Arabidopsis thaliana: one gene and its partners. The protein of the gene in region 1 interacts with the protein of each later gene in a pairwise test. Each region holds a gene or a part of one and is shown on either strand. Other genes may lie near its edges.

What was found. Proteins that work in one complex are often made in the same cells at the same time.
Region 2: the proteins of DHAR1 (region 1) and TET2 interact in a protein complementation assay, tested with the Arabidopsis thaliana proteins (one large-scale study listed by BioGRID).
Region 3: the proteins of DHAR1 (region 1) and AT5G41800 interact in a protein complementation assay, tested with the Arabidopsis thaliana proteins (one large-scale study listed by BioGRID).

The regions. Positions count from the first base shown.
Region 1 is NC_003070.9:6,772,761-6,776,409, forward strand, and holds DHAR1 (dehydroascorbate reductase), read right to left. Parts: upstream 1,764-3,649; 5' UTR 1,654-1,763; coding exon 1,596-1,653; intron 1,472-1,595; coding exon 1,381-1,471; intron 1,195-1,380; coding exon 702-1,194; 3' UTR 542-701; downstream 1-541. Other genes in the region: AT1G19565 (uncharacterized protein), read right to left, coding at 119-210, 319-371; GAMMA CA1 (gamma carbonic anhydrase 1), read left to right, coding at 2,177-2,291, 2,546-2,689, 3,255-3,380, 3,483-3,634. UniProt on the Arabidopsis thaliana protein: Displays a dual function. As a soluble protein, exhibits glutathione-dependent thiol transferase and dehydroascorbate (DHA) reductase activities. Key component of the ascorbate recycling system.
Region 2 is NC_003071.7:8,471,576-8,477,115, reverse strand, and holds TET2 (tetraspanin2), read left to right. Parts: upstream 1-1,962; 5' UTR 1,963-2,094; coding exon 2,095-2,288; intron 2,289-2,373; coding exon 2,374-2,680; exon of another isoform or gene 2,681-3,511; intron 3,512-4,411; coding exon 4,412-4,723; 3' UTR 4,724-4,982; downstream 4,983-5,540. Other genes in the region: ACO1 (ACC oxidase 1), read left to right, coding at 1-191, 292-877. UniProt on the Arabidopsis thaliana protein: May be involved in the regulation of cell differentiation.
Region 3 is NC_003076.8:16,731,941-16,736,651, reverse strand, and holds AT5G41800 (Transmembrane amino acid transporter family protein), read right to left. Parts: upstream 2,990-4,711; 5' UTR 2,811-2,989; coding exon 2,726-2,810; intron 2,655-2,725; coding exon 2,424-2,654; intron 2,152-2,423; coding exon 2,054-2,151; intron 1,964-2,053; coding exon 1,777-1,963; intron 1,692-1,776; coding exon 1,561-1,691; intron 1,480-1,560; coding exon 1,243-1,479; intron 1,154-1,242; coding exon 764-1,153; 3' UTR 559-763; downstream 1-558. Other genes in the region: CIP1 (COP1-interactive protein 1), read right to left, coding at 4,261-4,711.

The DNA.
Region 1 (3,649 bases):
ATGAAAATCGCTGGTCATCCACAATAAAATCCGATTACCTTACGACTGCTGACGGTGCGACTATAACTGCCTTCTCCCAGGAACATTCTTGGAAAATCTCACCCAACCCTACATTCACCCGCCCAAGAACATTGTATCGCAGAACGATATGGTTGATTTGTGGGATGTAAAGATCGGTAAGACTCTCGAGTCTCGACAAGACTTATGTTTCTGAGGAAGAACTCCTCAAAACCATCAAAGGTGATCAGTTAAACCATAAAAACAGTTTCTGATATCCAATATTCATCAGTCCAAACTCCAAAGTATTAAACGAGTCACTTGCATTTGCAGAGACCCAGCCTCCAATGGATTTTTTTGTGGGTTTGATCCATACGGTCCTTGCGAAGAGCGACTTTACCTCCTTGACTATAGATCCTTCTTTTGGAGTTAAGACTTCTGAGCTTTATCCTGAGGTCAAGTACACAAGTACTGTCGATGAGTTTCTTAAATAATTTGTCTGAAAAAACCCTTGTCCCTTATGTTACGTGTAGCCAGTGTTTATCCGAGTTTCGATATGGAGGCAAATCTTATTTCAAAATAGGCTTCTTATTTGATTGATACAGTACATTACATAAAAAGGTCCAAGTACATTATTTGACTGATATAAGAGAGAGACCTTGAACAACATTACCACACCAACGATCTCATAACGGTGCATAGTTTCAAGGGTTAACCTTGGGAGCCCATCCAGAGATCACATACTTTTCCTCGGTCTTAGTTTTCTCAAAAGAGTCGAGCGAGAACAGAGTCTTCATGTAGTTATGGACATGGGGAAAGCTCTCAGGGACAGACCAGCTTTTGAAATGGCCAAGAGCAACTTGAAGGTGGTAAAGCTTTGGTGCTAAGCTTAGATCCACTGCGGAAACTCTTTCTCCGGCGATAAAAGGGCCATCGTGACTCTTAAGATGGTTTTCCAAAGCTTCTAGCTCAACAAGCAAGGCATGTTCAGATCCGTCATTGGAGTCTTTGCTCTTCAAGAATGTCCCAAAAGTACCAAAAATGTTGGATCCAACAGAGGCAAATTCAGCAGGAGTCTTGAGTGGTGGATCAGGATACTTCTCCTCGAGTATACCAACGATGACGTCGGAATCAGTCACCCACTTGTCGTCGATCTTAAGCACTGGTACTTTCCCTTGAGGACTAATGTCCAAGAACCTGCATCATATATAAAACCAAAGCCACCAATTTCAAGTTCCGGTTAACACAATGCTCGCACATGAAGCCAATCCAATTTCCGGTTAACACAAAGCTCGTACCAGTTACAAGTAAAATTTCAGAGATTATGGCTAAACAAGTTCAAACTAGACCGATCTTAAGGGTTTAGGCGTGAGAGAAACTGACCACTGGGGTTTGTCAGAGAGGTTAATCAGATGGATTTTGTAGGTAAGACTCTTCTCCTCGAGTGTGAGAAGAGCCCGTTGGCTGAACGGACCTAAAACGACAAACAAACACTTAAATTAGTAAATTTACCAACGATCAAAGCTCAGAAATTAAGAATTGCAAAATCAAAAGCTTAATGCAAAACAAAAACAGAGAGAGAAAGAGAAGATGGTTACAGTCGCCGAGATGATCAGGAGCACCAACAGCAGCTTTCACACAGATTTCCAGAGCCATCTTGATTCTTCTTCCTTTGTTTGCAGAGACGGATGAATGATTGAGTTAATCAGTGAGAAGGCTTAGCTTTTAAACTGAATTATTACCATTCTCCACCCACCAGTGGGCCATTTTTACCCGATGTTTATCTTTTCTCACGTGTTATGCGTTGCAAGTGACGACGATACGAAACGACATTGTTACTGATAGGGCCATTTGATTTTTGGTCGGCAGGTTTTGGACCGTTCAATTTAGTGAAAATATAGTAATAAATTCGTACCGAATAATATAATCGGTTTAATGAAACTACTACCTGAAATATCGAATTAGATTTGGTTCATATTTCGTATTGTTTTGGTTCGATTAAACCATATTAAACCACTGTAACTGTAATTTATTGTTTCGCCGTCCCGGAATGTTCCTGTTGAAATCCATTTTCGCTGATTTTTTTTCTTCCGTCTCTTCTTCAGCTTCGACCATTTTCGTCTTCTTCATTCAGTGTTGAGTCCTCGTTTACCTGTGAGCTCGAAGAAAGTGACGATCAATGGGAACCCTAGGCAGAGCATTTTACTCGGTCGGTTTTTGGATCCGTGAGACTGGTCAAGCTCTTGATCGCCTCGGTTGTCGCCTTCAAGGCAAAAATTACTTCCGAGAACAACGTAAGATTCTGCGTAACTCTATTTTTCACTCCGATTTCGAATTCGTAAAGAGTGAGGAGTTTCGATTGGGTAATTCAGCTCACCTATTCTGGTTAGGTTAGAGATCTGGAATTGATGTCTTTGTAGGTATAGCGATTCTGGATTCGAATGGCACAAGGGATTAATTGATGTGGAATGTGTTTTGCTGCTTAGTTTTTTTTTTGTTTCCTGGTCACGAAATTTGCTTATATGTAATTGTGGTTTTCTCTGTGTAGTGTCAAGGCATCGGACACTGATGAATGTATTTGATAAGGCTCCGATTGTGGACAAGGAAGCTTTTGTGGCACCAAGCGCCTCAGTTATTGGGGACGTTCACATTGGAAGAGGATCGTCCATTTGGTATGGATGCGTATTACGAGGTGAGCTAGCTACTAAGCCTCAATGTTTGGTGTTTGGTGGTTGACTATTTTAGTGACTGAAGTTTTGTTTGAAATAGTATCTACTTCTGTATCCTTAGCTGTGTCAACTCTTACGATAGAAAATAGTGAACGAATATCTGTTTTTTACTCTTCTGGTTAAGCGATGAACAAGACTACTACTCAAAATGGAGCTTTCTAGCTTTATTGAAGGATCTTAAACAGATCATTACTACATATCGTATCTTGATGATACTGGCAGTTGCTCTAATGGGTGATTGGGTATATGATATCCCCAATCATATACAGAATGCTTTCATGTCATAACACCAGAATTAGTTGAACGATATCATATACAGATTATTGAGTTTGAGTTGAATCCTTATTGCGAGTATGAGTTGGCTAGTCTGGATTTTTATTTAATGGTGATGAAATAGGGTTGTCCTTTTTACAGAATGCTTTCATGTCATAACACATTGGTACTGTATGGCTAAGCCTGTTAGTACTTTACCAGGAAACTGGGATAACATACAATCTAAACTTGCTTTCTCTCTTTTTTTCTGCGCAGGCGATGTGAACACCGTAAGTGTTGGGTCAGGAACTAATATTCAGGACAACTCACTTGTGCATGTGGCAAAATCAAACTTAAGCGGGAAGGTGCACCCAACCATAATTGGAGACAATGTAACCATTGGTTAGTGGGAATCTCTTACTCACTGTTTATTTTGAAAATGTTTAATATGCATACATCTCCAAGAAGCATTTGGGATATAGTCTTAAATTAAATGTGTAACAGGTCATAGTGCTGTTTTACATGGATGTACTGTTGAGGATGAGACCTTTATTGGGATGGGTGCGACACTTCTTGATGGGGTCGTTGTTGAAAAGCATGGGATGGTTGCTGCTGGTGCACTTGTACGACAAAACACCAGAATTCCTTCTGGAGAGGTATGATTTTGGGTT
Region 2 (5,540 bases), on another chromosome or scaffold:
ATGGAGAAAGTGAAGAAGATGATTAACTCTCACTATGAGGAGCATTTGAAAGAGAAGTTTTACCAGTCAGAGATGGTCAAGGCTTTGAGTGAAGGCAAAACCTCAGATGCAGATTGGGAAAGCAGTTTCTTCATCTCACATAAACCAACTTCAAATATCTGTCAGATCCCAAACATTTCAGAGGAACTCAGGTAAAGTAATTAAGAATTGAATAGTACCAAAGGCTCTACCATTTTTACCTGTTTGCTTATTTAACTAAACAATGTGAGAGGGTGAAATTGATATTTGCAGCAAGACGATGGATGAATATGTTTGTCAACTGCACAAGTTTGCAGAGAGACTCTCCAAGCTCATGTGTGAGAATCTTGGTCTTGATCAGGAAGACATAATGAATGCCTTTTCTGGTCCAAAAGGTCCAGCTTTTGGAACAAAAGTGGCTAAATACCCAGAATGCCCACGTCCTGAGCTTATGAGAGGGCTGAGAGAACATACGGATGCTGGGGGAATCATATTACTCCTGCAGGATGATCAAGTGCCTGGTCTTGAGTTCTTTAAAGATGGGAAGTGGGTTCCTATACCGCCATCCAAGAACAATACCATTTTTGTCAATACCGGTGATCAACTAGAGATACTGAGTAATGGGAGGTACAAGAGTGTTGTTCACCGTGTAATGACAGTGAAGCATGGAAGTAGACTGTCGATTGCTACGTTTTACAATCCGGCTGGTGATGCCATAATATCTCCAGCTCCAAAGCTCTTGTATCCAAGTGGCTACCGTTTTCAAGACTACCTAAAGCTTTATTCAACTACCAAGTTTGGAGACAAAGGCCCCAGACTTGAGACCATGAAGAAAATGGGAAATGCGGATTCAGCCTAGGATGCATCTGGAATTTGACGCTTCTGTACTCACATCATAAAAACTTTGTCTTCTTCTTGTGTTTCCTTATAATTTAAATAACCAGCCATGTCAGAATCTTGCTGATTCAGCTATACTACTTCACTCTTCTTTCTTCACTTCCACTTGAAAAGTTCCAAAGCCAAACTGAAGCAGTCTCATCAAGCTCTGTGTCGAACTTGAGATTAGACAAAGAGCTTGTAATCTAAGCTCTAAGATTGACAGTCAATTTCATGATTTATAAGATGTAATTCAACTCTTAACGTAATCCACAACTCCGCCATCATCTCTTTCCATATTCTCTCTGATTTGACTCATTTCCTTCCCAATTCCTAGAATCAAACAAATAGCATTTCTATATCAGCATCTAAAACTGAAAGCTAAGTGTGTATTGACTCAAAATTCTTCTCCAATCGCAATAAAATCGAGATGAGAAAAATTCATCCATATGTTTTGGTTCACACATTCTATCGAGCAGCTTGTGTGCAATCCCAATCCTCTGAACCAAAACAAAAGCTTATCTCTTGACCATTACCCGACATTTCACTCATCAGCCAACGACAAATCCTGCTCCGAAACCTCTAATGCTTGGAAAAGAAGAAAATTCCGATTTCCGAACAATGGAACTTACTCCATTTTGCATTCTCTGTCGAAAGTAACATACGTTCAATGCAAATGACCCAAAGTCGTCGGTGCCACGTGGATAGTTCTCACTGGTTGATGCATTCGGTAACTCGCAGAATGGAAGAATATTAACACAAAAGGCATCTCGCGTATCCACGTGTCCCGTTCAAGATTCCAAATTCTAAACCAAAAGCCGGTCCGACCAGATTAACAAGTTCTCTTTATTACATCACAACCCAAAACTTGTTCAAAACCTAACTTTTCATTGCTAAACATATTTTATTCTGACATTCACATGTTAACTTTAATCCAATATCTAATTCTTTTTTCTTAAAACCACCGTTGTCGAAAAATCCAAATCAGCAAAATCAGTGATTAACCGGACCGGACCAAACCGAACATCGTTTTCTGTAAATAGCAGTAACTGGTTTCACACATCCCATCATCTCTAACCACCGACCTCATAAGTCATTAAGACAAAAACAGAGACACTCCTCTCACTCTCATTATTTCATTTTCTTTCCATAAAAAGCACGAATCTTCAAGAACAAAGAGAGAGAGAGAGAGAAAATTTAATGGCGTTAGCGAATAACTTAACGGCGATACTCAACTTACTAGCGTTACTCTGTTCCATACCAATAACGGCGTCAGGTATATGGCTAGCTTCAAAGCCAGACAACGAGTGTGTCAATCTCCTCCGTTGGCCCGTTGTCGTCCTCGGCGTTCTCATCCTCGTCGTCTCCGCCACAGGCTTCATCGGCGCCTACAAGTAAGAATCAAAGAACTTCAAGACTTTGAAAACATAGACACAAATTGAATCATAAAGATGTAAACTTTGAGCTCTCATATTTCAGGTACAAGGAAACTCTACTGGCGGTTTACTTGTGCTGTATGGCGATATTGATCGGACTTTTGCTGGTGGTTCTTATATTTGCATTCGTCGTGACCCGGCCCGATGGATCGTATCGGGTTCCGGGTAGAGGTTATAAAGAGTATAGGCTTGAAGGGTTCTCGAATTGGCTTAAGGAGAACGTTGTGGATTCCAAGAACTGGGGAAGGCTAAGGGCTTGTTTGGCTGATACTAATGTTTGTCCTAAACTCAACCAAGAATTCATCACCGCCGATCAGTTCTTCTCCTCCTCTAAGATCACTCCTCTCCAGGCATGTTCTTTCTTCTTTTATTCTCTTTTATAAAAAGAACCCCGAAATTTCTAGTTTCCGGTTTAGGTTTGGTTTAGAGGTAAATCTAGACTAAATATCGGTTATGCAACTATGCCAACGAATCATTGTGGGTTTAATTAGATATTATTAGATGATTAATGGAGATAAGATACGAAGTAAAGAGAATGTTTTGTAAAATCTCTAGATTATGTGAGACCTACGGTTTGTTCTTGCCATAGAAAGATAGGTTATTTTTTCTTTCAAAAAGTAAAGTATGTGGTTTTAAATCAAAAAGTTAAAAAATTTCTCTTTAGCTTTTGTGAAGATGTCCAAAAGAGAATTGTTCTTATTCTCTATATTCTTTTTTTTTGTTTTGCAGCTTTAAGTTATTTCGTTTTGGATTTCCTCATCTTTGAAAAAACTAAAAAAATATTTTCTGACTTAATTAATCTTATGTTTTCTAGTGTTGGAGAGAAACCTACATTAGCTTTCTTAACGTTTCGCAGTTAGTGCCATTTTGTGGTAAAACTCATAGATTAGGCATATGTAATCACCATTATTGAACACATATTTATTCCTAGTAGACTGGTGTAGAAGTTGCTGGAGACCAAGTCCACAAGATTATATAGTAAGATAGTCAGATTTCAAAATTATACACTATCATAAGGACCCACCCATGCACCCACAATATGGTACATGATAAACTATGTTTTATCTGTGTATTAATTATATTTTTCCTTTGTCACTATCTCACTCATAAAATTCAATGATCCCATTCACTTTAGATAGTGTTTTTCGTGATCACAACTCAAACTTGACAAAATTTCCTACTTTTTCTATTTAATTTTATTAATTAAAATCACTCTTAAAATTCATTGTCATGTCTTTTATGTCTTTTAAGCTTTAAACATGGAGAGATTAAGGGTGATTTAAATAATTTTATTCCTAAAACTTCTATAGCAAGTTGTCATCCTAGTCCATTGTCACTGTAACAAGATTGGAACCACTAATAATTAAATAAGCCTAGATGCTGAGGTCTCGACTGAATTTTAAATCTTTTAGTCATTAGACATTATTAAATATTGGACCAATGATTTGATTCAATAATTACGATCACAAGTCTTTGTCTCCATCATGAAACATAATAGATAATTATATCCCTCCCATGTTGCCCCACTCACATTATAATTTTTCTTATTGGATAAATTAGGACTCAAGAAAAAATAAGTTTATTTCTAAGAAAGAGTTATACAATTTCTCGTCCTCGAGACAGAACCAAAATTTACTCATAAGTAAAAGAAGATTATTCTGTGATAAGATTCAACATGTTTTTTCATTTTTTTTATGTACTTTCATACCAAGCAAGCAATTTTTTAGGTTTCTTGTAGTCGTTTTATTTTTATAGCTTTCAGACTAAAACTAGTGTTTCATTGTTTTAGGTCTTGACTCTTGAACTCTTGATTGTTTGTGTTTGCCTTTAGTATATACTTTTTTTTTCTCCACATGAACCCATAATATTAACCATGTTAAGCAAAATGAAATTTTTGTTGTAAACACAAAGGGCAGACGCAAATGGTAGCGTTTGTGTTTACAATGTGTAAATATTTTTTACCAATAAAAAAAAAGTGTAAATATCTTTAAGACTATGATTATCATATTTGAAAACATGGTTAAGCATATATTTGGTCAAATCTAATTATGACAATTTCTTGAACATTTGTTGTTTTACAGTCCGGCTGCTGCAAACCACCAACCGCATGTGGCTACAACTTTGTGAACCCAACACTGTGGCTAAATCCAACCAATATGGCTGCAGACGCAGACTGTTACTTATGGAGCAATGACCAAAGCCAGCTTTGTTACAATTGCAACTCATGCAAAGCTGGTTTATTGGGAAACCTTAGAAAAGAATGGCGTAAAGCAAATCTCATACTTATCATCACAGTCGTTGTTCTCATATGGGTTTATGTTATTGCTTGTAGCGCGTTTAGGAATGCTCAGACTGAGGATCTCTTCCGCAAATACAAACAAGGTTGGGTCTAAAATGTGTTTGTGTCTATAAATTTGTTTGTAGTTTGTTGAGATTGGAGTTTTCGGAAATAGCTCGTCATATTATGATTTCTTTGTGTGTGGAAAAGGTTTTTTTCTTTTTATGGATTTTGTTTCTATGTTTATCAGTTTATGTTCGACAAAATGGCACTTATCTATGTAAACAAACAACTGACCCTAATTGGAAAACTGATTGTTGTCATAGAGTTTTCTCAGTTTCTTCTATTAAGAAAAACTTAACCGTTGGTTAAAACGTAATTATCAACAAAGACTTCTCTTTTGGTCTGTGACGTTGATTCCAACGATAAGAACAAAACCTAATCTTTGTTTTCTTTTGTCAACAATAGTACTATCACCTTTGTTCTTAACTATTTTTTTGGGAACTTAAAATTGACAACACCGGAATTAAAATGTTTAATACTATCAAAATTATATGAAACTAAGCTGTCTTTTAGCTATAGTTTAATTCATTTCTGACCTCTAAAATAATATTATCCGGAGATTATTGTAGTTTCGTAACGTGGTTGATGAAACTACTAGGTGTTTTCTTAATTAGACCACGATTTTAACATTACGTTACACTAATACTCTATTGCATTTTTGGTAGTTTTCATAACAATGATTCCATGCGGCTTAGTCAAACCGAAATCATATTATTTGTAAATTCAATTCTGATATAATTTTTCTATTTTGTACCAAACGTAAACCGAAACATAACCGAAACCGAACCAAAACTTCATTTGCGTAATGTAGTTTCCTACGTTGTTGTATCTATAAATAGTTTGTTTGTCCAGCATCCATTTCATAATTC
Region 3 (4,711 bases), on another chromosome or scaffold:
TAGATTCTTAAGGTAATTTTTAATAATTAAAAAAAAAAAGAAGAAGAAGACAAAATGCAAATGAGATTGGAGTATCCGCTCCGAAATCCATGACCATAGTATGTGATAGTCTGGGCATTCGAATTTTGGATCGGATCAGATTAGATTAGGTCTGATAGAATCCGATTAGAATCCAAACAATTTTATGATTCTAATTTTTTTAGACTTAAATCGGTTTTTATTGATATTTTAGAATCCCAAGTGTATTCGAAACCAAAATATGTATGGTTTTAATTCTTATTTGGATTTGAATTATCCGATGAAATCCAAAATATCCGAATTATCCGATCAGAATTATCAAAATTATTTGAAATTTACTATATCAAATATGAAATTCTGAATTACACGATCCGAATTGAGCATAAAATTAATAATATGTAATGTATTATTTCGGATTGGTGGATATCCAATCGGTCCGAAACCGAACCAATCAGCTACGAATACTGAAAATTAACACACTCTGAGAGAGTTTACTGAACCCAGTAATCTGTTTAGTGTTTATACCCAAAGGAACTTTGTATTTAAATAGAAAATCATTTAACAAAAAAAACATATTCATCTCAAGAACAATTGACGTAAGTGTGATAATCCTTGTCTGGTTTTGCATTTTGTAACTAGTTTGGTTTTGCATTTTGTGTGATAATGAATCAACTCGAGAAATTCATGTACAAGTGTAACCACAAAACAAGTATTGTTTATGTTTTTATCACACTATCAAAACCATCTAATCAACAACTTCACTGCTAAACAACTTGAACTTATTAGCATCAAGAACAAGTTTCCTAATGGAGGAGAAAGCTCCCATGAGTCCTGCACAAGTGAACACAACCATTATCGTCATGTTTATCCAATACGTGAAGCTCCGTCTGGTTGGCTTATAGGTCATGTTGTATAGAAGCATTGGCAGCACGAAATCGAGTGGGATAAACCCAAACGCTCCTACCACCGCGTTTATATCCCCAAAGAACGGTAGCATCGCTGCCATGAACCCGCAAAACGCCATATATAGTGTTCTTAGTATCAAACGCGGCACAAGGTTGCGTTTTGAGAATATCCCTTTTGTTGTATCCGCTGATTTCTTCTCCATTATTTCATACGCAACTTGAGAATACACCTAACCAGTTACCAAAAAAAAGAAACATTTAGTCACTCGTCTCACAGCCAAGTAACATCGAATAACGATCACACTAGTTATAAACTTACAAGGCCAATGGCGAAAAGCTGAAGAAGGACAAAGATGACAGCTAAGCCAATCACCACGATAGGAGCCAGAGTCGGTCCTTCATCAGGCATTAAGTTCTTGAGGATATTAGAGCTCGAATTGTTACCAAAAACCCAATATCCCGAAATTGCAGCAGAGTAAAACGTGAAGAAGATCACACTATAACACAACAATAGTCCTTTCAACATCTTCCCTGTGGCTGGTGGAGCAAGAGTTGCCTGCATACATATAATCATCTCATAAATCTCAAACACATAACATACAATGTTTGTATTGAATAAATTGCAAACATTTCTCACCTGTATTTCGGGTAAGATTCCATTTCCGAAAATAGCAGCTATGATCGAAATTGATGTGAAGGCACTAAAAACTTTCCCTGAATCCGAATGCTCTAGAGAATACTCACGTTTAGGAGCGTTTTTCGACAAACCTGTAGAACCAAAACTGGGCAATGAATCTAAATTTTCGAACATTAGTAAGTTGTTGTTTCTTCGCTAACGTAAGAATCATTATACCTAGGTTGATACAAGCCCCAACGACGAGGAAAGTATATCCTAAGCTGAGAAGCAGAGACGCACAGTTAATGTGTCTAAGAGAGTGAAAACTTGGAAGCTGTGAGAGAACCATCATCACAACAGTCACCATAGCAATGAACTCGTAAAGCTTCAACGTTCCTTGCGGGAAAAGACTCGAATACATTATCTGTGTAGTAACACAAAAACAGAGGATGATCCGTACGGTTCTTATAGTACCTTGTTTAACAAGTAATCAAAATTTAGGTTTCTTTCTTACATCAAGACATTGACCTGCAAGTAGAATGGCGCCAATACCAATTCCAGTGTTGATAGCTGTTTGAATAAAGATCACTACATAAAACATCAATCCAGATCCTGCACCACATCACAATAACCGGCTCAAAATTCGAAATCGGCCCTTAAACCCAAAACTCAATAACCGGAAAGACCAGACTTTATGACGTAAACCGATCTATAAACCGAAATACACAGGCCTAACCTAGACCGGTACGGTAAACTAAGACACGTGTGATGATGGCGAATCTAACAAGAAGTCAAAGTATCCAAATCGAAACACGATCCAACCTTTACGGATTTATCCAAAAAAAGCAAATTAATAAATACAAAGAAGAGATTTTGAATGATACCAAGAACATCGGCGGCGAGTTCCCGGAAACGGATGTGACGGCGGCCGGATTTTTCACAGTGATCAAGAACCTTAGACATGAGGTAATAAGCGTAGAAAGTAACGAGTCCCATCGTCGTTAAACAAACAAACCCTAACCACCATCCTAATCCTCTAAACGCATATGGTAATGTCAATATCGTCGGACCAACAATCGCCGTCGTTAGATGAAATCCGGCGTGCCACCACTCGCCTGAGAATTAATTCTCAAATCAGTTAAAATTCCAAAATTGGAGATTGATATCATAAATATATGGGTTTAACCTTTTGATTGGAGGACGAAGAGAGCACCGGCGTCGGAATCGAGTCGGGTAACAGGAAACGGGTCGGGTCTGGGAGGATCCGTCATCGATGAATTTTAGTGTGAAAGAGAAGAAGATTCTACAAGTGAATGATTTATATATGGAATGATGATGATGGAGAGCACGGTGGAGAGGTGGGCGCATGATAGCTGGTGATAGTTAATGTTTGCTATAATGTTAAATTCCGTTGCTTCTTTAAAGAAACAACCTGTCATAGTGAGAAAAGGAGACATATTTTGCATTTTCCTCTTTATTCGGGATGTGATAAAATTTTGCTTTTTTCAGATTCCTATCATTAAATTAAAAAATTAGTTTTATGATTCCTATTTTCATACATTTCCACTTGTACTTTACTTGTGCTTCTTTGCATGTTTCAGATTTTTTTTTGTAAAAATAAAAATATTAAATTGACAAAACAAGGTTTTGAAATTACTTTTTGATATTTTATTTAGAAATTTTCAGTAATGTATTGTTTGTAAATAAGGAAACAAATTTTAAGAGTTTTTTTTTTGTTGGAATAATCCAATATGATTTATATGAATATCTATCACATAATTTTAGATTTAATGTATCTTGGTGAATTAATCAGATAATAAAGTAATTGGGAATTATAACGTGTTAGACTCTTTTCAAATTTTAAGGTCAAAGTATAATCACTGTCTGATTTTAGAGGAGAAAGTAGTGTGTTTCCATAAACTCATAAAAGTGAATAGAGTTTCTATTTAAAATTTAATAATTTAAGATATTGCCAAATTGTACTTAATTTTCAATTAACTTCGATTTAGGAAATATCAACTAGTTATGGAATTTTTTCTCAAATATTTGATTGATCTAACATCACCAAACCTTACTGGCTGACTTATTTTGTGTATCATTCACATGGCTGACTTTTTCGGTTGTGAAAAACACTTGAAAAAAAAGTGGTTGCTATTAAAGAATAAACATTTCAAACATTTCAAACTAGTTCACATTAGAAATTCAAGGCGAGATATAACGACTGCTAATGCAAAAAAAAAAAACCCAATAAAATAAGAAATGAATGAGAGAACGAAACTCTGTAAAGCGATGTGTATAATTTTGTTATGAAAGAGCAAAGATGATACTATAACAAATTCCAAACAAGCAAAAGCACTATACCAACAGTAGCATTTAATCGTTCTATACAATCCGACGCCCAAAGAAAAAAAAATATCAACTCCATTTGTGTGAGCCCCTTTATTCCCTGACCTCCCATAAAAACCACCACCAACTTTGCCCACAATAAACCAAAAATTTTGACTTACAAAATACAACAAAAGTTAACAAACATATAAAAGTGCAACAAAATCGAACACAAGTACACCAAAAGTCCCCAACCAAAAATACCTCTCCACCAGCTTCTTGATTGACCAGAGTCCAAAACCTAATAAACACATATATGTTGTTTCATTGTTTGCATTCATGTGAGGTGGAAACTAGGCTTGGGAAAGATAAACAACGTACCATGGCACTGAGTCCTTAAGTTCGCTGCGACACTCTTCTTTGGCCTCGAGCCACAACGGTCTTAGACAAAACCTCCTCAAGATATTCACAACGACTTCTATGGTGATCGATCCAAACACATAATTGCCTTATCGCTTCTCTTTTCTCTTCTCCAAGTCCCATCAAAGTCTCTTTCATCATCTCCTTCTCTTTTTCATCTTCTCTTACTTTTCCTCCAAGCTTTTTTATTTCTTCATCTTTCTTCTCTATCTCTTTATTCATCTTCTCCTTCTCGTGATTTCTCTCTATCACCCAATTCGTCGCAGTCCACAGTATTTTTGATGCCTCCATTACAGTTTTCTCGTATCTCCCCTGTTTCTCCGTGAGTTTTTCTGACATGGATTGAAACCCATCTACTGTTATGTTCACTTTATCTGCTATCTCTTTGATCATACCTCGATAAGTCTCATGTGTCATGGTGAGATTC